4 linked regions of the Saccharomyces cerevisiae S288C genome follow. Changing the gene in region 3 together with the main gene of any one other region gives a genetic interaction. Each region holds a gene or a part of one and is shown on either strand. Other genes may lie near its edges.

What was found.
Region 1: mutations in NIP100 (region 3) and KIP3 together harm fitness more than expected from each alone (negative genetic interaction), as found in Saccharomyces cerevisiae (5 studies listed by BioGRID, with this or other methods).
Region 2: mutations in NIP100 (region 3) and CPR6 impair growth when combined (synthetic growth defect), as found in Saccharomyces cerevisiae (4 studies listed by BioGRID, with this or other methods).
Region 4: mutations in NIP100 (region 3) and CAP1 together harm fitness more than expected from each alone (negative genetic interaction), as found in Saccharomyces cerevisiae (5 studies listed by BioGRID, with this or other methods).

The regions. Positions count from the first base shown.
Region 1 is NC_001139.9:83,182-89,166, forward strand, and holds KIP3 (tubulin-dependent ATPase KIP3), read left to right. Parts: upstream 1-1,703; coding exon 1,704-4,121; downstream 4,122-5,985. Other genes in the region: ERMES complex subunit MDM34, read right to left, coding at 1-1,076; CLG1 (Clg1p), read left to right, coding at 4,800-5,985.
Region 2 is NC_001144.5:570,713-575,635, reverse strand, and holds CPR6 (peptidylprolyl isomerase CPR6), read left to right. Parts: upstream 1-2,424; coding exon 2,425-3,540; downstream 3,541-4,923. Other genes in the region: MSC3 (Msc3p), read right to left, coding at 1-1,485; COA4 (Coa4p), read left to right, coding at 1,718-2,170; cell proliferation protein CDC123, read left to right, coding at 3,778-4,860. UniProt on the Saccharomyces cerevisiae protein: PPIases accelerate the folding of proteins. It catalyzes the cis-trans isomerization of proline imidic peptide bonds in oligopeptides.
Region 3 is NC_001148.4:218,689-225,149, reverse strand, and holds NIP100 (Nip100p), read left to right. Parts: upstream 1-2,376; coding exon 2,377-4,983; downstream 4,984-6,461. Other genes in the region: COX10 (protoheme IX farnesyltransferase), read left to right, coding at 1-797; mitochondrial 54S ribosomal protein uL24m MRPL40, read right to left, coding at 1,114-2,007; phosphatidylinositol N-acetylglucosaminyltransferase SPT14, read right to left, coding at 5,062-6,403. UniProt on the Saccharomyces cerevisiae protein: Motor-binding component of the dynactin complex which assists cytoplasmic dynein by increasing its processivity and by regulation of its cargo binding.
Region 4 is NC_001143.9:427,332-431,972, forward strand, and holds CAP1 (Cap1p), read left to right. Parts: upstream 1-1,970; coding exon 1,971-2,777; downstream 2,778-4,641. Other genes in the region: sphingosine N-acyltransferase LAC1, read right to left, coding at 1-1,220; SFT1 (Sft1p), read right to left, coding at 2,867-3,124, 3,266-3,301; 60S ribosomal protein eL14 RPL14A, read left to right, coding at 4,575-4,641. UniProt on the Saccharomyces cerevisiae protein: F-actin-capping proteins bind in a Ca(2+)-independent manner to the fast growing ends of actin filaments (barbed end) thereby blocking the exchange of subunits at these ends.

The sequences.
Region 1 (5,985 bases), on a different chromosome or scaffold from region 3:
CGGGTCTTTTTGCATTTGATCTTTCTTCTCCTTGGTTTGGCATTGTCGTCGTTGCTGTTACTCCTATCGAAAAGTCGAGACTGAATCTTGGTTATCGTAGCCAAATCGTACTGGCTGGAATCTAACACTGTTTTAGGTAATAGATTGTGGGAACAGTAGAATGGCTTTACCAATTGTTTTGATGATACGGTTGATGACTTTGGTTGTGGAAATGATTGCGAAGAGTAGTAATTGTTTAAAGAGGGCATCCTTGATATAAATCTGTACAAGTTTTGTCTTTCCAAGCAACCAGGTATAGCGGAAAGAGAATTCATCACAGTGGAATGTAGTGACAGTGTTGACCTCGACGACACAATGCTTGAAAGACGTAGCATGTTTATTGGAGAAAGCTCTTGAAAATCTGATCCGTCCAAGATTACATTCCTAGACATTGTAGTTTGTTGATGATGATGCTCTCTTTTACCAGGGATGGTACTGGTGCTCTCGCCGCGATTGGTGAACCAGTTCTGTGACGTGTTGAAGATCAAAGAAGGAAGAACATCCTTGAACACTACATGCATGGACTCTTTTAGCCTTCTCTCAATGGTGCTTTGGAGAATTTTTACAGAACAATCAAACTTAAAATCCAAATCAACGTCATTAAAGGATATCCCAATTCCAGGGTTCTTTACAAAAATATTCGTGATGGCTTCTAGCTCGATGGAACTGAACGTCATAGTTATAGGAATTGTGAACGATCCATTATTGATGAGCTGGGGCATGGTAAAGCTGGGTGTATCCTGTTCGTTAATCAATAAAAGATTCGACTCTATGACTGTCTGTATCCGCAACATAGCATCCTTACATGAAATCTTGCAAATCCCCTTGGCCAGAGACTTGGGCTGCGTGATAATGTCTAGGTCCAGAATTTCTAGCTGTGGTATTGTAGGAAAATCCACCTTCTGTACCTTAATTCCGCTTTTCAAGATATCTAATTTCTTTTTAGACGGTGAGTTCAAAGCCGTAGATAACTTTTCCCGTATTCGTTCATTGAAAGAGTTATCACCAAACACAGCTTCGTTGAATCTAAATGACATGACGATGCTGAAGTTTCTTGCAGTTGTGTTTTTTTTGTTATAATTGTTACTGTTTCTATGTTTTACGAATCTTCCATGACTCTTCTAATTGGTCTCTTTTTACTACAAGGCTTCATGGCCCTTTTTCAAACCTAATTTATAAGTTCTTTGCCCTATGCTTAAAACAGTTTAGCCCTATTTAATATAGTACAAAAAAGGAAAAACCTAATTGAAAAAAGCTATTCACCCTAGGTCATTACTACTTTTTCCCTTAGCTAGCCGTGTTTTTAGTTTTTGTTTTGTTTATTTTACCTGTATTATGCCTTGTTTGATGACTTTAGTATGGGTTTGGTTTGTCTTATCCTTGGATACAAAAGGACCAGATACATTCACGTCTGGTCGGTAGAACATCGGTATCCAGTATAGTGTTCAGCTGTTCCTATAGAGACAAAATTTATAATCTGCGTGTAACAAATATCTGCAGGTTAAAAAAGTCCAGATCAGTGTTTCGAAGCTGTTGATTTTTCTTTTTTTTTTTTTATATTAAAATTTTCATATTCCCTGATTGCATCGTTTATCTGATTATCATTTCATTGCATTCTTTAACTACTTGAGTTTTCTTTCCAGCTGTATACTATTGACACTAACATGAACGTGCCTGAAACAAGACAATCCTCCATAGTCGTAGCTATAAGAGTAAGGCCCTTTACGTCAATGGAAAAAACAAGATTGGTCAATGAAGCTAGTGGTGCAGAAGCTAACTTTCCCGGTTTGGGGGATTCGTCGTTAATATTACCCATGAGTAATAACTCCGACTCCGATATAGACATAGACGCTGAAGAAGGTTCTACGCGGAGCAAAAGAAATAGCTTGCTGAGGAGAAAAGTAATTAGACCGGAGGGTATACGTAAAATTGTGGATTGTGTGGATGATAGAATGCTCATATTCGACCCAGCTGATAGAAACCCATTGAACAAAGTGAGTGATCAGGTCCTGAACTCGATGCGTGCAAGGGCCACTAAGGCCACTGCGTCCTCTATCAATAACAGCAATGCTACGAACAAATTTTCTTCGCAACGTCGAAGGCACGGTGGCGAAATCAAGTTTGTATTTGATAAATTGTTTGATGAAACCTCTTCCCAAGCCCGTGTATACAAAGAGACCACCAGCCCGCTCCTAGATTCTGTTTTAGATGGATTCAACAGTACCGTATTTGCTTACGGTGCTACTGGTTGTGGCAAGACATATACTGTGAGTGGCACACCTTCACAGCCGGGGATCATATTTCTAGCCATGGAGGAACTATTCAATAAAATTACAGACCTGAAGGACGAAAAAGACTTCGAGATTTCACTGTCTTACTTGGAAATATACAATGAAAGAATCAGAGACCTTTTGAAACCAGAGACACCATCTAAAAGATTGGTCATTAGAGAAGATACGCAGAACCACATCAAAGTGGCGAATTTGTCGTATCACCACCCAAATACGGTAGAAGATGTGATGGACTTAGTTGTCCAGGGAAACATAAACAGGACTACGTCACCGACGGAAGCAAACGAAGTATCTTCACGATCTCATGCAGTGCTGCAAATACACATCATGCAGACAAATAAGCTTGTAGACTTGACCTCGCAACATACATTTGCTACACTTTCAATAATCGATCTAGCTGGGAGCGAAAGAGCCGCCGCAACAAGAAACCGTGGTATAAGATTACACGAAGGTGCGAATATAAATAGATCCCTACTAGCACTGGGCAATTGCATTAACGCGTTGTGCTTGAATGATGGCAGCAGAAGCTGTCATATTCCATACAGGGATTCCAAGTTAACTAGGCTGTTGAAATTTTCACTGGGTGGCAATTGCAAAACAGTCATGATTGTTTGCATATCGCCCAGCAGTTCACATTATGATGAGACATTGAATACTTTGAAATATGCAAATCGTGCTAAAGAAATAAAGACCAAAATAATCAGAAATCAGCAGTCTTTGAGTAGACACGTTGGATCTTATTTGAAAATGATTACGGAACAAAAGCGACAAATCGAAGAGTTACGCGAACGTGAAGAGAAGATGATTTCTTTGAAGCTAACGAAATACAAACTAAACAAAGAAAAGATCCAGTTAGCCATTAACGAGTGCGTCAATCGTGTTCAGCAAACGTATGCAGGAGTGGAAACGTATCAAGTAGCCAAGACCTTGAAATCATTAATACTTTGTAAAAGGCGGTTTTTGCAAATGGTCAAGCTAGAAGTGGATAATTTGATACTATTATTTGAACGGGAGGAAAGTACAGCCGCCGAGATGCAGCCGGTGATTAGTAATTGCCGAATGATCAGTGGTCAGCTTTATAACAAAATACACGAGTTAGAAATGAAATTTGATGAAACCGACACTCTGAGTTCCGTCATTCATCAGGTACATTCCATTGACTTGAACAAGTTAAGAGAGATGGAGGACTGGGATGAAACTTACGACCTGGTGTACTTGGAGTCGTGTTTAAATCAAATATCAGAATTACAAAGAAACGAAATCTTGGTTAATTCCTCCATAATGACAGAAAAATTAATGTCAGATCCGGGTTTGAACTCCCGATTTAAATTTCTATCAAAGTGGCTGATGAATAGGACACCTAACATTGAATCCATAATTCAAGACCTGGTTCATATCGACGAGGAGTTTGAATCTTTTGCCAGAACTTTTATCGCCAATCCCGATAGCAATTTTACAAACACAAATATAAATATAATAAACACGACGGCAGCTGACTTGGCTGTTCCCGCTGAGACCCTACAACGGCAAAATTTTTCCCAAAAAAAAGTAAAGTGGACGAGTCCCGACCTTAGTCCCAGCCCTATGATTGAACCACAACCGGAGCTAGAACCAGAACTACACCAAGATCAAGACGCCATTGCAAGTGAAGTGGACGTAAGTATGCAAGATACCACATTCAATGAGCAGGGGCCCTCGACCCCCTCCGCTCCGACTACAGCGGTTCCAAGAAGGAAGATGCGCTCCTCCCTTCTTACTCATCAAAGTCTACTGGCCACTGCCAGGAAATAACATACATATCCTACGTAAACTATCGAATATAACTTCTTTCCGCCAGCATTAAACGCATTTATGTTGATTAATTCCGGGTTACGGGAAAAATTTTTCTTTAATTTCTTTTTTTTGAATTTATTTGGCACGAGAAAAGGTTCAAAGTGAATAATTGCTTTTAGTCATTAGACACATTACCTACTTTCTAAGAGATTCTAAAAGAAACTAAGCACCACAAATCATTGATCTTTTAAGAAAAACGCACAAGGATCATATACTAGATTCTCGTTCTCGTTTTTTCTTCCTTTTTTTTTTCTCTAAAGCCTTTTACTGGGTTAATTTCCTTTATTGACCCAAATTAAAAGAAAACGTTTCTCAGGAGACTCTTTTAAGCAAAATTTAGCAAATTTGTGTTTGCTGTTGTTTTTACAGAGACTGCATTACTTGAAGGTTTGCCTTTAAGTCTTCGAGTCGTTTTTTTTTATTAACTTTAATCCTTTTTCTGTGTGTTTGTGTATATTCAGTGGGGTTATTTTACAGTATTCGAAGAGACTTCGTTTCACACATTTAAACCAGCTTTATTAGCGTTTAGCTTATACACTACAAGGAATTTTTTTTTTCTTTAACATTATTAAGACAGTTATTGAGTTAATTCGTCTTCAGCCCCCCTCCCCCCAACAAACCCCCCTTCATATAGAAATGGCTAATACTTTCAAGTATTATCCTGAAACGATGGGTAATTCTAGTGGTTATCCAATTAGTTTGCCTTTTCCGAAAGGTTCGGCTACTTCTGCTGTTAATGTTGCTAGGCAACTGCCTAAATATTTAGGTCATGTTCCCTCGCAATCAGTTCATACTCAGTTGCCATCCATGGCTTCTTTAGGTTACTTCAATCAGCCAAGTTCTACTTACTATGCTCCTCCTGCACCACTTCAACAGCACCAGCAACCACCTATCCTTCCCCCTCCGGGCCTAATGTACACTAGTAACAATAACAGCAACGTTATTCCTCCTCCTGTTCAAATGATTCGGGATGGACAACAACAACCACAACAATCTAACCAAGTAAATGGGGGCGTCAGTGAGAACTTGGACTACGATATTTCTATAATGTCAAAATTTATCATGGAAAATGCCTTTGTTGCCTTCAACGCGAACTATAGTACTGATGACCAGACCACTGATCTTTTTTTCAAGGGCATATCTTCTGTGTTGAATGCCACGAGATTGCCTTCAGCTACTATTTTTTTGGCTATAGATTATCTTTTCAAGTATATCAATAAATTATCTAATGGGATACATTCAATTGGTGGCAATTCGATCAATATCATTTATCAAAATACTATGATTGCGTTCATATTAGCAAACAAGTTCAACGATGACAAAACTTTCACCAATAACTCATGGTCACAGGCAACAGGAATACTGATAAATGTTATCAATGATTTCGAGAGACAATGGTTGAGAATATTTAACTGGGAATTGTATGATAGTGCTTTTCTTTATTTTGAGTTCGTCAAGAATTTTGAGATTTTCAAGCAAAATCAACTCAAACCTGCTGTAGCGGTTCCTACGTTATTATCTCCAATTGTCAACGTTGGTGATACGAGAAACGTAAATTTCAACTTGAAGCCTACTTCCACAAACAACCTATTATCTCCAGTTTCCAATTATGAAACCCCCATGCTGATGCCGCATAACATGTTTTCATCACCATCTTATCAGAGTAACTCAAGGTCTGAATTTTCTAGTATGAATGGTTATTATAACTATTACAACTATAATCAGCCAAGATTGAATTACTATCAACAATTCCCCAATATATATTCTTCACCAATTTCGGAAACTCAGTTTGATTACGACTTCTACAATTTCAGTAGTCAAC
Region 2 (4,923 bases), on a different chromosome or scaffold from region 3:
GACCTGACGAGGTTTAGCCGCCGTAGTGCTATTATCGACTGCTTCAGGTTGAATACCATGTGAGTTGTAATACCTCGCTTGTGCGATTTTCAAAGCTTGGTCATACATTTCTTTATCTGTTAGCCCTGTGTTTGCACTTTTAGGCTCTGGAACTGGGTCAACAGCCTTATTCGATTTAAAATGTGTAGACACAGAGTGATTGTGCACTTCATGGGGGGCGCTTTTAGTATTTCTGCTGAAGAAGGAACTTGTAAATCTTTTTGGTTGAACCTCGACATTAGATTTGACAAGATTAGCAGTCGCCGTCGGAGAATCACTACTGCTTCTCAAGGTCATTTTTTGACCCATCCTACTTTTCCTGGATTTGTTACTCCCGAGGGGGGCCGATGCGTTATCCGAAGCAGCATCCGTGTGATAAACGTTTCTTTTAGCAACCTCTAGTGCCTTCAGATACATTTCTGCTTCGGTTAATGGTTTCTTGGCCTCTGCTTCTGCGTTTTTCACGGCAGGCGGTCTTTTCTTCCTTCTTGTCGTCGATGCTTGCTTCCTTTTATTATGAATATATTTACTACTGGTCTGATGGGTGGGAGGAATATAATCTAATGCGTCACTGAAGTTTGATAAACTACTTTCTTCTTCTAGAGGCATAACGTCTGTAGAATACTTATGGTGGAAATATGATCCAAGTGGGAAATCTGGTTTTTCCACGTTTAGCTCTGAATCATCTTGTAAATGACTTTCGCTTACTGGGGAATATGGCTTTTCGTTATCTGTTTCGTTTTCCTCGATTATATCGTGAATGTTATCACTAGCTTGTTCCTCTAAAATGTCGTCATCTTGCAACATGTAATTTTCACTAAATTCATCGAAATGACGCTGCGAGTCACCTAATGGAACCAAATTCTTAGTCGTAGTCGTGGTTTCTACGTATTCATACCCATTTATTTTTCTTATTGTCTTTTTGGTAATTGATTGAGTCCTTCCTGAAGGGTCTGTTACTTGTGTAGTCTTTACGGTAATGGAGTTGGCCCTTGAATCGTTATTGTTGCCGGCCGTCGATTTGTTCTTACCGTAGTTTCTTCTGACATTCGCACCAGACGTCATAGAATTCATACGGCTCCCATTAGTAGTATAACCGGGCGGGTGTAAATGGTACTCTCCGCTCCTTTGCGACCTCAACGAGTAAGTCTTCTGTGAATACTGCTTAGCTGCTGCCCTGGACGTTGGCGGAGCGGCAGAGGATGTGGAAAGCCTTCTTCCTGGGCTCTTTACCGAACTTCTTTGTCTCGGTATTGAAGGTGCATGACTAACCAGCGAGTGCGACCTTGAGTAATTGGTTCGATCCGGTGATGCGGCAGAAGCAGCAGAGGCAGCAGCAGCAGAGAGCTGAGGACTTTTGTTATAATCTTCATGGTTCTGATAGTAGTAATCATACCTAGATAAATCAGGTACCCTCCTGTCCCTCTTTGTAAAACCAAATACCATTTTCAACTTTCTTGATCAACAGAATGTCTTTGTTTGTTTATTCTAGTGAAAAAATAGAAGTAAAAAGCAATCAATATAAGCAACGTGAAACGATCGAAGGAAACTAAAAGAGGTTTGATGTTAGAAGAATTGATTAACACCAAATCAAGCAATTTATTGAAGTATGGGTCCCTGATGTTTGTCCTTCTCGTTCTTGCTTTCCCTCCCCTCTTCTCATCCATTCGCTTCATTTATGCTTTTATTTTCTTCTTTTTTTTCTCACAACAAATGTCCGAAACAAAAAAAGGGGCCTCAGCCATTAAAGGTAGTGAAAGGCACTTCTAAGAGTTGCGCCAAACAAGGGAAGATTAAAGGGAAAGAAAAGCTCTGGCAGGCTAAAACTGGCAGACTGGTCATGAGTGAAACTGGCGAAACTTCAGAGTATTATAAGCAGGCGCTGGAAGAATACAAAGAGGTCCAAGAAGACGAAGACCCGGATGTGTGGGACACGAGAATATCCAAGACCGGATGCTACGTAGAGAACCTCGCATTACAGCTGTGCCATGCCGAAACAGGTGACTGGAGGCAGTGCTTCAACGAGATGGCGTTATTTAGGAAGTGTTGGGAAAAGAATGGTAATAGAGAGCGCGTAAGCACAGTGGACGTGGATGGGACGACCAGTAAGGATTCGGAAAAGAAGAAATGAAAATCTAAATGTCGTGATGTATAACTTGTATATAATAGACAGCTGCAGTGATCGAAACACATTGTTTCCCTTTATAGAACATAACTGTTACGCTTTTGAACGGCATTTCTATGAGCTTCTAGAATATTTTTCCGCCCTAGCTGGAGAAAGTTCAGACAGAAAATTATTTAAATAAGTCGAATATCAGAGGTGCTGATGCGCTCACATCACATAGAAAACTGGTAAGACAATATTCAGGCGATCAAGGAGTAAAAATGACTAGACCTAAAACTTTTTTTGATATTTCTATTGGAGGTAAACCCCAAGGCCGTATAGTTTTTGAGTTGTACAATGACATAGTGCCTAAAACGGCTGAAAATTTTTTGAAGTTGTGTGAAGGAAATGCTGGTATGGCAAAGACTAAACCTGATGTACCATTGTCGTACAAGGGTTCCATTTTCCACAGAGTGATCAAAGACTTCATGTGTCAATTTGGTGATTTTACCAATTTTAATGGTACTGGCGGTGAGAGCATATACGATGAAAAATTCGAGGATGAAAATTTCACTGTTAAACATGATAAACCATTCCTTCTATCCATGGCCAACGCCGGTCCAAATACCAATGGATCTCAAGCTTTCATAACCTGTGTTCCTACACCTCATTTGGACGGGAAGCACGTTGTGTTTGGTGAAGTGATTCAAGGTAAAAGAATTGTTCGTTTGATTGAAAACCAACAATGTGACCAAGAAAACAACAAGCCATTGCGTGATGTAAAGATTGATGACTGTGGCGTGTTACCTGACGATTATCAAGTGCCAGAGAATGCCGAAGCTACACCAACAGATGAGTACGGCGATAATTATGAAGATGTTTTAAAACAAGACGAAAAAGTTGACTTGAAGAATTTCGACACCGTCTTGAAAGCTATCGAAACGGTAAAGAACATTGGTACTGAACAGTTCAAGAAACAGAACTATTCCGTGGCTTTAGAAAAATATGTCAAATGTGATAAATTCTTGAAAGAGTATTTCCCAGAAGATTTGGAGAAGGAACAAATTGAAAAAATCAATCAATTGAAAGTGTCTATTCCATTGAATATTGCCATCTGTGCTCTTAAATTAAAAGATTACAAGCAAGTATTAGTAGCCTCATCGGAGGTGTTATATGCCGAAGCGGCTGACGAAAAAGCCAAGGCCAAAGCTTTGTACCGTCGTGGCCTGGCCTATTACCATGTTAATGACACAGATATGGCTCTCAATGACCTAGAAATGGCCACTACTTTCCAGCCAAATGACGCTGCCATTTTGAAAGCTATTCATAATACTAAATTAAAAAGAAAGCAACAAAACGAAAAAGCTAAAAAGTCTCTTTCGAAGATGTTCTCCTGATTACTTGCATTATATATATGCTTATATGTTTAAATACTAAACAGTTGCGCTGCCTCAGTAGTTAAGTAAAAAGTACGTAGAAAACTCTGTTAAAAAAATTATTTTTTCAGGCATAATAAGCGGATATTTTCCGATGTCCATTTATGCAGTGGGAAGATTAAGAAGCTAATGATACCGTAACTCCACCAGTGAAACTAAAACGTGCGTCCAAAAAGCGCTGACATAAATTACTTATTGATGTCCTCACAAGAATATACAACTTTTATAGATATACCAGTGACAAGAGCGCAGGTTGAACACTGTTCTTACTCGTTTTGGTCCTCACTGTATCCCAAATATGTGCCAAAATCCATAGTGTTAAAATCCTTACCGAAAAAATTTATTCAATATTTGGAACAAGACGGTATCAAGCTACCCCAAGAGGAAAACTCCAGGTCTGTGTACACCGAGGAAATAATAAGAAATGAAGATAATGACTATAGTGATTGGGAGGACGATGAGGATACCGCCACCGAATTTGTCCAAGAAGTTGAGCCATTGATAGATTTTCCAGAATTACACCAGAAATTAAAGGATGCTTTGAACGAATTAGGTGCAGTGGCTCCCAAGTTAAACTGGTCTGCACCAAGAGACGCTACCTGGATTTTGCCGAATAACACTATGAAGTGTAACGAGGTAAATGAGCTTTACCTATTGTTGAACGCATCCAATTACATAATGCATGACCTTCAAAGAGCATTTAAAGGCTGCGTGGACGGGGATGATATAAAAGGATTGAAATTTGACTTGGTACTTAGACAATGGTGTGATATGAATCCGGCACTCGAATTTAGGGTCTTCGTTAAGAATGCGCATATCGTTGGGGCCACCCAGCGTGATTTAAATTATTATGACTATTTAGATGAGTTGTCAGATACCTTCAAGGACCTTATTGATGAAATAGTTCATGATGTCGTCCTGCCCAAGTTTCCTGATAAAAGTTTCGTTCTTGACGTTTATATTCCAAGACCTTTCAATAAAATCTTCATTGTTGATATAAATCCGTTTGCCAGGAAGACAGATTCTTTGCTATTTTCATGGAACGAGATTGCTGCGATAGCACCTCCGAAGAATGATGTTGAAGATTATGAATTAAGGTTAGTGACGAGGCATAACACGGGGAGATTCGCTTCAAAAGAGCACTCCGAAAATCATGTTCCACAGGATCTCGTAGAAGCTAGTTTAAATCCTGAAGCAATCCGAGAGCTCACTCAAAAATGGAAAGAACTACTCTCTCAACAGGCAAAGGAAGAAAGCAGTGATAGTGAGAATGAAACTTAGATTTAGAACCCGCATTTGAATATATTCGTCTTTTTATTACCCTGTTGTATGATTATATAAAAT
Region 3 (6,461 bases):
TAAATATGGGCAGAGAGCCAGAATTTGATAGACAAATGGTGAGAACTCAGGCGAGGCCCGTTGTTAGAGGTGATGTTACACCTACCCAGGCATTCGAGTTTGCCGCACTTATCGGAACATTAGGAGTATCTATCTTGTACTTTGGTGTTAATCCTACCGTTGCTATTCTTGGTGCTTCAAATATCGCGTTATATGGCTGGGCCTATACGTCTATGAAAAGAAAGCATATCATTAACACATGGTTAGGTGCCCTAGTAGGAATGGTACCTCCTCTAATGGGATGGGCAGCCGCAAGTCCGCTTTCACATCCGGGATCTTGGTGCCTTGCTGGTCTATTGTTTGCTTGGCAATTCCCACACTTTAATACGTTGAGTCATAACATTAGAAATGAATACAAAAATGCCGGATACGTTATGACTGCATGGAAAAATCCGCTCCTAAACGCCCGTGTGTCGTTGAGATACTCTATCCTAATGTTCCCTTTATGTTTCGGATTGTCTTATTTTAATATCACAGATTGGTACTACCAAATAGATTCCGGACTTATAAATGCCTGGCTAACGTTCTGGGCTTTCAAATTCTATTGGCAACAAAGAATCAACTATTCTGCAAAAACATTAAAAGATAACGTCAAGTTTAATAAAGGTCTAAGTGTAGCCAACATTTATGCAAGGAAAACTTTTATGGCTAGTGTATTGCACCTACCGGCAATTCTAATCCTAGCCATTATACATAAAAAAGGCCGCTGGGATTGGATATATCCTGGTGAAGCAAAGCGACCACAGGAACGATTTTAGCATTAGTACAATGAGATAAAGAGACAACGCTTAAAGGGCAGTCATTAATCTTGTAAATAAATATTTAAACCCTTTTATTGGTTAAAAATAATGTACATACGCACATAATTTATTTTTAAAGAAAAGATTTTGTAATTTGAAGTCATCACGTTTGCCCACATCAATATCTGAATATTCTTTGAACTTTACTTTATGCTTTCATATATACAGGTCGAATATAACTTATTTACTACGTGAATAGTGAAGGGGATATACTGATTAAAAAAATCACACTAGAGAATCAAATATAAAAATAGAGTGCATACACTTGGTACATTTATTCTCTTTTTTGTTTTTCCAAAAATTCAAAAACCCTCGCCCCAATAGCTTCCATGTCCTCTTCAGTTAGTTTTGGTACTTCTCTCTCAGCCAACTCCTTTTTTTCTGCCAAATGGCTTTTTCTTACCTCTGTTAGGGGCATCTCAGGTGCTACTAGCTTAGCTATATCTTTCGCTGTCAAGGTACCCCTTTTGTACTTAGAATGAGGATTGCGAATACTTGGTATTGCCTTTTTTGGAATAGGGTTTCTCACTACGGAATCGACCCAAAATGTTTGTTCTCTAGCAATTACAGGATCGGTAGCCAAGTTCGTTTGCACATCAATTGGGTCTGGTTTAGGCCATGGAATGATCAAGTCTGGTTGACCCTTTACGCATCTATATGGCATTACCTTTTTGTAGTCTGCATCATAGTAGGAACCATTGAAGGAAACATCCCTTACTGCCACCGTTCTTGTCTTTCCTGGGGTCTTTTCATCGTCAATATCAGCAACTAGCCTTAAATCCTTTCCCAAAATTGAAACTGGAATTGTTATCATGTGAGATGTTTGGCCTTCAAGCCAGAATTGTTTAGGAACTGGAACAGTCTTTGTGGGCCCATTCTCATCTAATATGAATGAATTTGTTCTTTTATCGAAAGATTTAATTACAGCTATATTTCCTTTGGAAGCCCCGCTCATTACTACTACTCTGTCGCCAGGTATAAACTTCCATTCTTTTTCACTCTTGAAACTAGTTTTCTCATCTACTTCCTTTAAATCTGACTTCATGAACTCAGGCGTAGATTTTTTAATGAACTTTTCACTATGAGGAAGAAAGTTTTTGGGTCGATTCCCCAATCTTTTCATAACACGCGATCCAACGTTTGATAAATGTTGATAGCTTCCAGACATGATGGATTACAAATTTTGTTGCTGATAATGTTCTTTACGGTGGATTACTCTTATCAGGTAATCCTTAAGTAGCTGTTAAAGAGCAGTAGGTACTTTTGAATCTAACATGTCGTTATTTTTCATGTCGCTTTTCAACCGGGTATTTTACAATGCTTAACAAAAAATGCATATATGTTGAAAAGTCACTTATGTAAACGTACAGTTGTAAGGTGCTTTCTTTTTACTCTAACCTCCACACTGAGATTGTTGGCGTAACTGTAGAGAGTTACTCATATGCTGCTAGACTTTATGTTGTACTTTACTTTTGCAAAGTACATAATACTATTCTAGATTCGATCTCCATCAACCTCGCAGTACAGCCTTGGACAAATGCGCAATGCAGGTGTTCAAGTTGACACAAATATGCAGAAGATAAGCTTACAGGACACAGTTCTAGTCAACGAGATGAAGGGGCGGGTGAAATTCATTGGGGAAACTCAATTTGCAAAAGGCATATGGTACGGCATTGAACTAGATAAACCGTTAGGAAAGAATGATGGAAGCGCTAACGGTATTCGTTACTTTGATATCGACCTGAAGAAAGCTAATTCAAATGGTGGTTATTATGGTCTTTTCTGCAAGAAAGATACGTTGCAGTTTTATAAACCAGATGACGATGAGCATAGTTTGCTAAATGGTAATGCAGCGCAAGAAACAATTAAGAATCTACAAGTAAAATGTGAATCATTGGCGTCCAAATTAAATAAAATTAAAATAGAAAATCATGAGCTGAAAACTTCCGTTGAAAAGCTGAGTACTAATGAAACTGTTCTATTGTCTAAAATCTCAAGATTGGATAAACTAGTCAAAGAACTGAAAGTGGAAAATGGTAATATGAAAACTCATTTGGATAATTTCAATCACCTATTAGATGCTTCAGATAGTGTAATGGCACCGGATCTCGACAAAGGCACACTGTTAGAAAGGAGCCATCTTCTTCAGGGACTACTCGACCAAACAAAGTTGTCATATGATAAAGCTATGAAGGTGCAAGAGGACCTGCTCGAGGAGAATACTCAGTTATTAGAAGAAAATGCAGTATTATCTAAAAAAATATCGGATTTAGGTCTGCAATTGCAACAGACTAATAATACAATCGGCGACCTTGCCTTGCAGATTGAAGCTCAAAGTAAATCATCTAATATTGTTGATAAATTGACTAATGATAATATCCTACTCACAAGTAATATAAAGGCTTTAAACAATGAGTTGGAGGAACTACAGGCAAAAGAAAAATTGGATGAAAATTTAAGAATTACCTATGAGCAACTCGAGCAAGAACTGAGACTGCAATTAAGTAATTTGCAATCTGCATTGGAAAATGAAAAGGAGATAGCAGGCACATATATCGAAGAAAATTCAAGATTAAAAGCAACATTGGAATCTATTGAAGCCAAAACATCTCACAAATTTCAAAGTCTTGAACTAAAAGTGAACACTTTACAGGAGGAATTATATCAAAATAAATTGCTAAAGAAATTTTACCAAATATATGAGCCATTTGCACAACCACATTTGGCGGCTCTTTCCTCTCAATTGCAATATTTAGCCGAAGTAATCGAAAGTGAAAATTTTGGAAAGTTGGAGAATATTGAAATCCATATAATTCTAAAAGTGTTGAGCTCTATCAGTTATGCGCTTCATATTTACACCATAAAGAATACTCCCGATCACCTGGAAACGACATTACAATGTTTCAAAGTAAATATTGCTCCGATTTCGATGTGGCTAAGCGAGTTTTTGCAAAGGAAGTTTTCTTCTAAACAGGAAACCGCCTTTTCCATTTGTCAGTTTTTAGAAGATAATAAGTTTCTAGATAAGGATGTGACCTTGATACTAAAAATACTTCATCCGATATTGGAAACAACTGTTCCGAAGCTGTTGGCTTTTCTTAGAACGAACAGCAATTTCAATGACAATGATACCCTATGTCTTATTGGTTCCCTTTACGAGAGATCACTTTCACTTATTGCCAGAATAGATAAACTTATCGGAAAGGAAGAAATTTCGAAACAAGACAATAGGTTATTTTTATATCCTTCCTGTGATATAACCCTGTCCTCTATCTTAACGATACTTTTTTCAGATGCACTGTTTTTGCGACAAGATTACAAACGTATTTCTTCTTTGAAAAAACTAGAGGTATTTTTTCAAGGAATAGAAAGTCTCTTAGAAAACATAACTATATTTCCTGAGCAACCCAGTCAACAAACAAGTGATTCAGAAAGTCAATGTAATATTAAGGAGGGCAATTTTTCAAACTCGTTATTAAGCGATCGCTTGAATGAAGAGAACATTCGACTCAAAGAAGTACTGGTCCAAAAGGAAAATATGCTAACTGAATTGGAAACAAAAATTAAAATTATTATTGGGAGGGATTTAGAGAGGAAAACCCTTGAAGAGAATATCAAAACACTCAAAGTAGAGTTAAATAACAAAAATGAGGAAAATTGTGGCAAAACAGAAATTCTTAACAAGCTGAAAGAAGAAAATTTCAACCTAGTAAACCGTTTGAAGAATATGGAGCTCAAACTATATCAAATAAAGGATAATAATACGTTGAACAAAATTTATTTAGACAGAGAGAAAGTAGATAGAGTAAATTTAGTTTCGGAAATCATGGAATTGAGAGAAACCATAAGACGACAAATAAAAGAGCAGAAACGAGTGAGCATCGATTTCAGCTGGTTAGACGAGCTTCCAGCTGTGGAAAATAAGCAACCATTCAAAGAACATATCAACCACAGTTTGGACACCTTGGGGATAGAAATGTTCAACTTCGTGAGTACCTCACGGATTTTAGATTTAAAGCTTGATCAACCTTTGGCAGAAGATGAACTCTGGCATGAAAGAGATCATTCTTACATTTCGTATTTAAAGCGCAAGAGGAAAAATATACGACTCAAATCTCAAAATGTTGTTACATATTACAAATGACTGAGTGATTCTAGCAGGTCTATAACATTCAAATACAGTAAATAAATGGATACAACATTCCTTTGTTTTGTGTAAAGTTTAAGTTTCTCTTGCTTCCTTCGTCTCGTTAGACACTGTTTTCTTGGGCCATTTTGGAGCTAGATCGATTTCATCCCTGGGGTATAGCCACTCTAAGAGGAAAAAAAGCATGTACTCTACAATTCCACATAACAGATAAAGATGTTTAGCCCAGATTCCATCTCTTTTGTAAAGATTTGCTACCATTTTCATCCAATCTTTATCATCAGCGGAAGAAGTAGAAGATATATTAGTATATATCTCTACTGTCCTTTTGGCTACGTCCATCCAGTCGTACATTTTAGACACGCTATCATGAAAAGAGGAAGTGTCCAAAGCTTTACTTCTTATGATATTGATAGCTTTATTTGTTGCTTGAACAAGGTCAGAAACGGATGTCTGTTCTGCATAAACAGTCATCTCATTTGGTAACACTTCGGGAATTCCTCCGACTTGTGTCGTTACAATTAGCAAATTACAAGATGCGGCCTCAACTAGAATTGTACCAAATGCTTCTGTTAAACTAGCGTGTAAATATATGTCACCTTGACATAATACATCCCTGACTTTCTCATGTGGAACAGAGCCTAAGAGTTGCACACGTTTTTGTAGTCTATGACTTTCAATCATTTGTTGAAAATCTATGAACTTTGGACCATCGCCCGCTACTATAAATTCGACATCTTCATGTGAGGAACAAACTTTCGGAATTATGCGAGTAAGTAAATCGGACCCTTTGTTTGGAAAGAGCCTTCCGATGACCACGATCACTATCTTATCCCTACTTTGTTTTCTCTTGGTGCCACCAGTAGGATCCCTTGGTTTGAAATCTTCGCTCACCACTGCGTTGGGAATTACTGAGATTATATCAGGACTTAATTCTGTTCTAACAATCATATTTTCTTTGCATGTATTAGAAACACATATAACCCGATCTATGTTTGTCAAGGTAAATGTTAGCAACTTATTCACCCAAATCGACGTTAAGTTATTAAAACCGTAGAGTGAATGGTCCGTGAACACAGTTCTCAATCCCATAGTATTAGCATGAAGAATTCCCTCGTGAGCGAACGTGGAAGCGCTACCATGAGAATGAACAATTTGGATCTGCTCTCTGAGAAGAATATTCCTTATTATTGGAAATGTTGAAAAAACAGTGGGGAAAGTGGTTTCTCTGAAAATCACAAAAAATGGTACGTGATAGACCTTTAGACCGTTGGTAAGATGTCGTACGCCGACTCGATCTTTGTAAGCGTGAGTTATAATGACGACAGAATGGCCCAAATCGATTAGTTTCTGCGATAAATGATATATATGGAATTCGACTCCACCTAACTGTGGATAAAAAAAGTCGCACAGCATCCTATTTTCATTGTTATAACTCTCAACTTTACTGGTTAGTATCAACAACAAAAGAGATC
Region 4 (4,641 bases), on a different chromosome or scaffold from region 3:
GTAGTGGAACTTTCATCACTTTCTTCGTCTGATTCACTATCACTTCTGTCATCCTTGAGAATACCTCTCCATAGAATCCTGTAAAGAACTCTAAAAATAAGGAACAGCCAATAAAGATTCACTAATTGCAAAGCGCCTATCAATACAAAGACAATTGGTAAGGAAATCCAACATTTATATTGCTGAGTGGCAAAATTCAAGACATAGTTACCTTCCGTGCGAAATTGCGTTAAAACGGACCATAGGATCTTTAAATTTATGTAATGACGCAAATAAATCCACGCAACAACAAAGATAGCAAAAGAAAAAAAAGCCAATCCAGAGTCCAAATAATTTAGAGTTTTGGAGAATGACAAAAGAAAATCAGAAACATCCATTGTGATATAGATTGGCAGTCCCATTTTAGTGAAATGAAATACGTAGGAAGACCAAATCAATAGTAAAGTAACAATATGATGGAAAGTCAACTCGTTATGATCTTTTCTTGGCTTTTCTAGTTGCAATACAAGAATGCAGGCTTGTTGAGCCCAAAATGCAGCTTGACCCAAATAGAATACCTTGAATAAGAAGGGATTAGTGAAATCTGGATATGTTCTGTACATTGCCTTTGTGTTGAAAAACCATAAATCCGAATGGTACATACAATATATCCCGAAAGGACCGGAAACACCGGTGTAGAAAATAGCGTACATTTGTTCCATGATTCTTTTTATTCTGTGCTTAGAAGTGACGTGTAACCTAATAGCGAACGGTCTAATGACAACATCCATTAGGAATTCACGTAAGAATGTGAAAAAAATCATATAGTAAAATACAAAGCACAAATCGTTAATACCTTTACCATATGCGTTGGTATCACCTATTTGGTATGACACAGCGACAAATCTATGTAACACATTTGTCTTTGTAGTGTTACCAGAAGTGAAATAGGCACTATATACCGCGATTAAAATCATCAAGGGAGCTATCCAGGCATGACGGTAACTTATCTCTCGGAATGAAAACCAGATTTTCTTGACCAGGTCGCTATCATTTTTGGTGGCTTCAGATAATCTCTGCATACGCCTTTTAGCAGCCGTTTTAGATTCTTTTGTCTCGAACATAGTACCTAAACTAGGTACAGTGTCCCCGAGGTCGATCTTACCTATGGAAGACTTGCGTCTTGGTCTTGACCTCACTTTCAAATTGTTGTTTGAAGGGCTTGGCTTTATTGTCGACATAGCTCTTGTTTATTGATACTGTGTCTATCTAAATGTTTACCGGAGGTATGAATAATAAAAACAATAGCGATCAACCGACAAAAATATCTGTATGGAACAGAAAAACGGTAACGAACAAGAAACTGTAGTTTTAACTTAAATCAGGTCCGGATTATAAAGCCGATGTAGCAGAAAAACGGGTTCACGGAATACAATAGCCAAATAACAATAAATAAATAAATAAATAAATAAGAAAAAAAAAAAGCAAGTAAATAAAACAAAACGGGATGCAACAAGCCAAGGAGGGAAACAATAGAAAAATAACTTAAAAATCTTTGTCTAGATTCCAATACTTTCTCCCTCCTCCCACGTTATTTGTCTAGCATGATCAGGTACAATGCCCACCGATATGAGAAAAAAGAGTGAAAAAAAAAAAATGACGAAAATGGTTCCGCGGATCTAGCAACTTTGTTGGAATGACCGGAAAAGACAGTTGTTTCCTTTCCAACTATTTTTCATTCCTGGTCTTTTTCCTGTTGAAGCCCAGCATTTTTTTTTTCGCGTCGCGTTTTTTCACAACAGTTCGGATCACGTGATAATCACTGCACGTGACTATCATGTGATACGATAGCCGGGTTATGATCCCCTTTTTCTTCCTATTGGAATACTGATTTTACAGTGGCTAGTACTGGATTTGAGTATAGGAAGGTGTTAGCAACTGTAAGGTACTATTCAGACCGTTAATCCAACGGATCATAAGAGCGACAGAAAATGTCTAGTAGTAAATTCGAAGAGGTCATCAACAAGATCATCAATGACAGCCCTCCAGGAGAATTAAGGGAAGTATACGACGATCTAATCAAGATCACAAGTGAAAACTCCAAAAATACTATTTTGGATGCTATTGAGAATTACAACGTGCAGAATTGCATCCCTATAGAAGTCAACGGGAACTCTGTAATTATTTCCAAATACAACAAGGAAGGAGCAAAGTTTTTTGATCCCGTAAATTCCGTAATATTTTCAGTTAACCATTTAGAGCGCAAGGGCCTTGACATTGAACCATATGAGTTCACGCATGCAAAGATAGAGAAAGGGCAATTGAAAGAACTGCACGATAAATTGCACGAATATCTTCTTCAGAGCTTTCCAGGTGATGTCAGTTTTGCTGTTTACCCAGTCCCTGAGGAAATAAGTAAAATTTCTATTATTATTGTTAGCACCAAATATAATCCAAACAATTTCTGGAACGGCCATTGGAGATCAAGCTACATCTACGATTTGGAGACCAGGGAGTTATCCGGTCAAATCTCTACGCAAGTCCACTATTACGAAGACGGTAACGTTAGTTTCCAATCTGGGAAGGATATCAATCAATCTAACGTTGATGACGTTGTTTGCACAATAAGGGATATTGAGACGAATTTCGAAAATGATCTAGATCTTTCATTTTTCGACTTGAACGAAAAACAGTTTAAGGCCTTAAGAAGAAGATTACCAGTCACGAGATCCAAAATTAACTGGGGTAGTGCGATTGGCAGTTATAGATTGGGTAAGAATGCGGCAGAAGGCAAATGAAATTTCATGCCTGCCTTATTCCATTCTCTTCCTATTTCTTAAATTGAATACATCTATGTACATTATTTATTTTTGGCTTGATTGGCTCACTAAAATAACTTAAACAGGGTATATAGAATGAAGAATATTAATAACGCCAAACCCACCATTCTCCATATGCTATTACCAGCCTTTAATGATCGGGTTAACCTTGAGGACGAATTTTTGATATCGGTAAACATCGATCCCAATGAATCTGTCATTTGGTTTATGACAGAACTGTCAGAGACCGCTCGGTCTCCAATCTCTTGGTTTATGTTTCTGAATGTAGCTAATTTATTGGCTAACCCCTCTAGTTTCCTATCATTCTGTTTAAAGTACATGTACATGAAGGGATGATACATCTGCTCATCCGGTGTACAGAAGCAATAGTTAGTAGCTTATAACATCCATATAGCAAGCTAGGTCCCATTCTAAACACCTATGCGTGTTGCCGGTGATTTACATACGTTTGATTCGGTCTGAGAATACCTAGAATTTGACATCGCTATGATGATTATATATTACCTTTCTACCGTTCTCTCCTTGTTGAGTTCTTCCAGTATCCTTCTTAATGATATACCTTATATTATTTCCTCTTTTTTTTTCTGCATGTAGCAATGCGCGGCTTCTTGCAATAACAAGAAAACTAGAGTAGCTAATTTACTGCATGAACCGTACATTCAGCAACAAGAAACATAAGATACTTACCGCACAATATTCATTGGTCAGTTACCGTACACACGAAGATCCTTTCTGAGTAGCGTAGTTTAAGGGAGCACACATTTTTAAATTCTAAACATTGCCTCAAGATGTTCTCCCATATACAAGGAAGGAATATTGAGCAACATGGTTAATCTGCCAGTTGCAACAACGCAAGTGTTATTAGAAATATTGTTCAAGGAAAATATCAGATAAAAAATTTTTCGCACTTCGCTAATCACCCATATAGAACATGGCGGTGTTCCAAGTGATTAGCCCTAGATCGCAAATTATATCATCATTCAGTTACCTTTCTCATTGAATCTTCTTGATAAGAACTACTGGTACCTCAAATAGGAACGAAATATGATACCACTGTATCATACTATCATTCTCAACACATTTGTTATATATTTTATGTTTCTACTGAACCTTTTGTCAGTCATCTCACTAGCAGCTGCGATTAACAGTCATCGGATATTTAAAATTGAAGCTTTTAAAATTGAAGCTTTTAAAATCAAACATGAATACACATTGGAGTTCACTGAAGAAATTAGGTTTAAATAAAAAAATCCAGCATTAGTTGTGAAGTAAAAAAAGACAAAACCAGCAAATTCTTGCCAGAATGTAACTATACTCTGAGTAAAATAATTGACAGCGCAAATACACCCATACACTATTTTTACATCTTGACATCACATACATAATATGTGTGAAATATCAAATTTTGAGTGTCCGTTATCAATTTTTTTTCGATTTTGCATTTTATGAAGCTTCAAACAGGTGTCGGCCTAACTTTCCGCCCGGAAAAGAGCGGTTTACGAGAGATTGCTGCTTGCAGCTGCGTGCATTTTTCCATAATCGGGTTTCCCTTCAGCGCGCAGTGTTTCCATTCTCAGCCCAATTGGCAACGGAGAGAGCGTAGAGCTTTCAGTGGACTGCCCTTCGTACTCGTCGAGTACTATTGAACTGAAAAAAAAGTAATCTAAGGTTAAGTTGATCAGGTCTGCCGATTGTATAACAAATTTAATTGTTTGTCTTAGTGAACAAAGAGAGTCGTGAAAAATAAAATAAACAATGTCCACCGATTCTATTGTCAAGGCTTCTAACTGGAGATTAGTCGAAGTTGGCCGTGTGGTTTTGA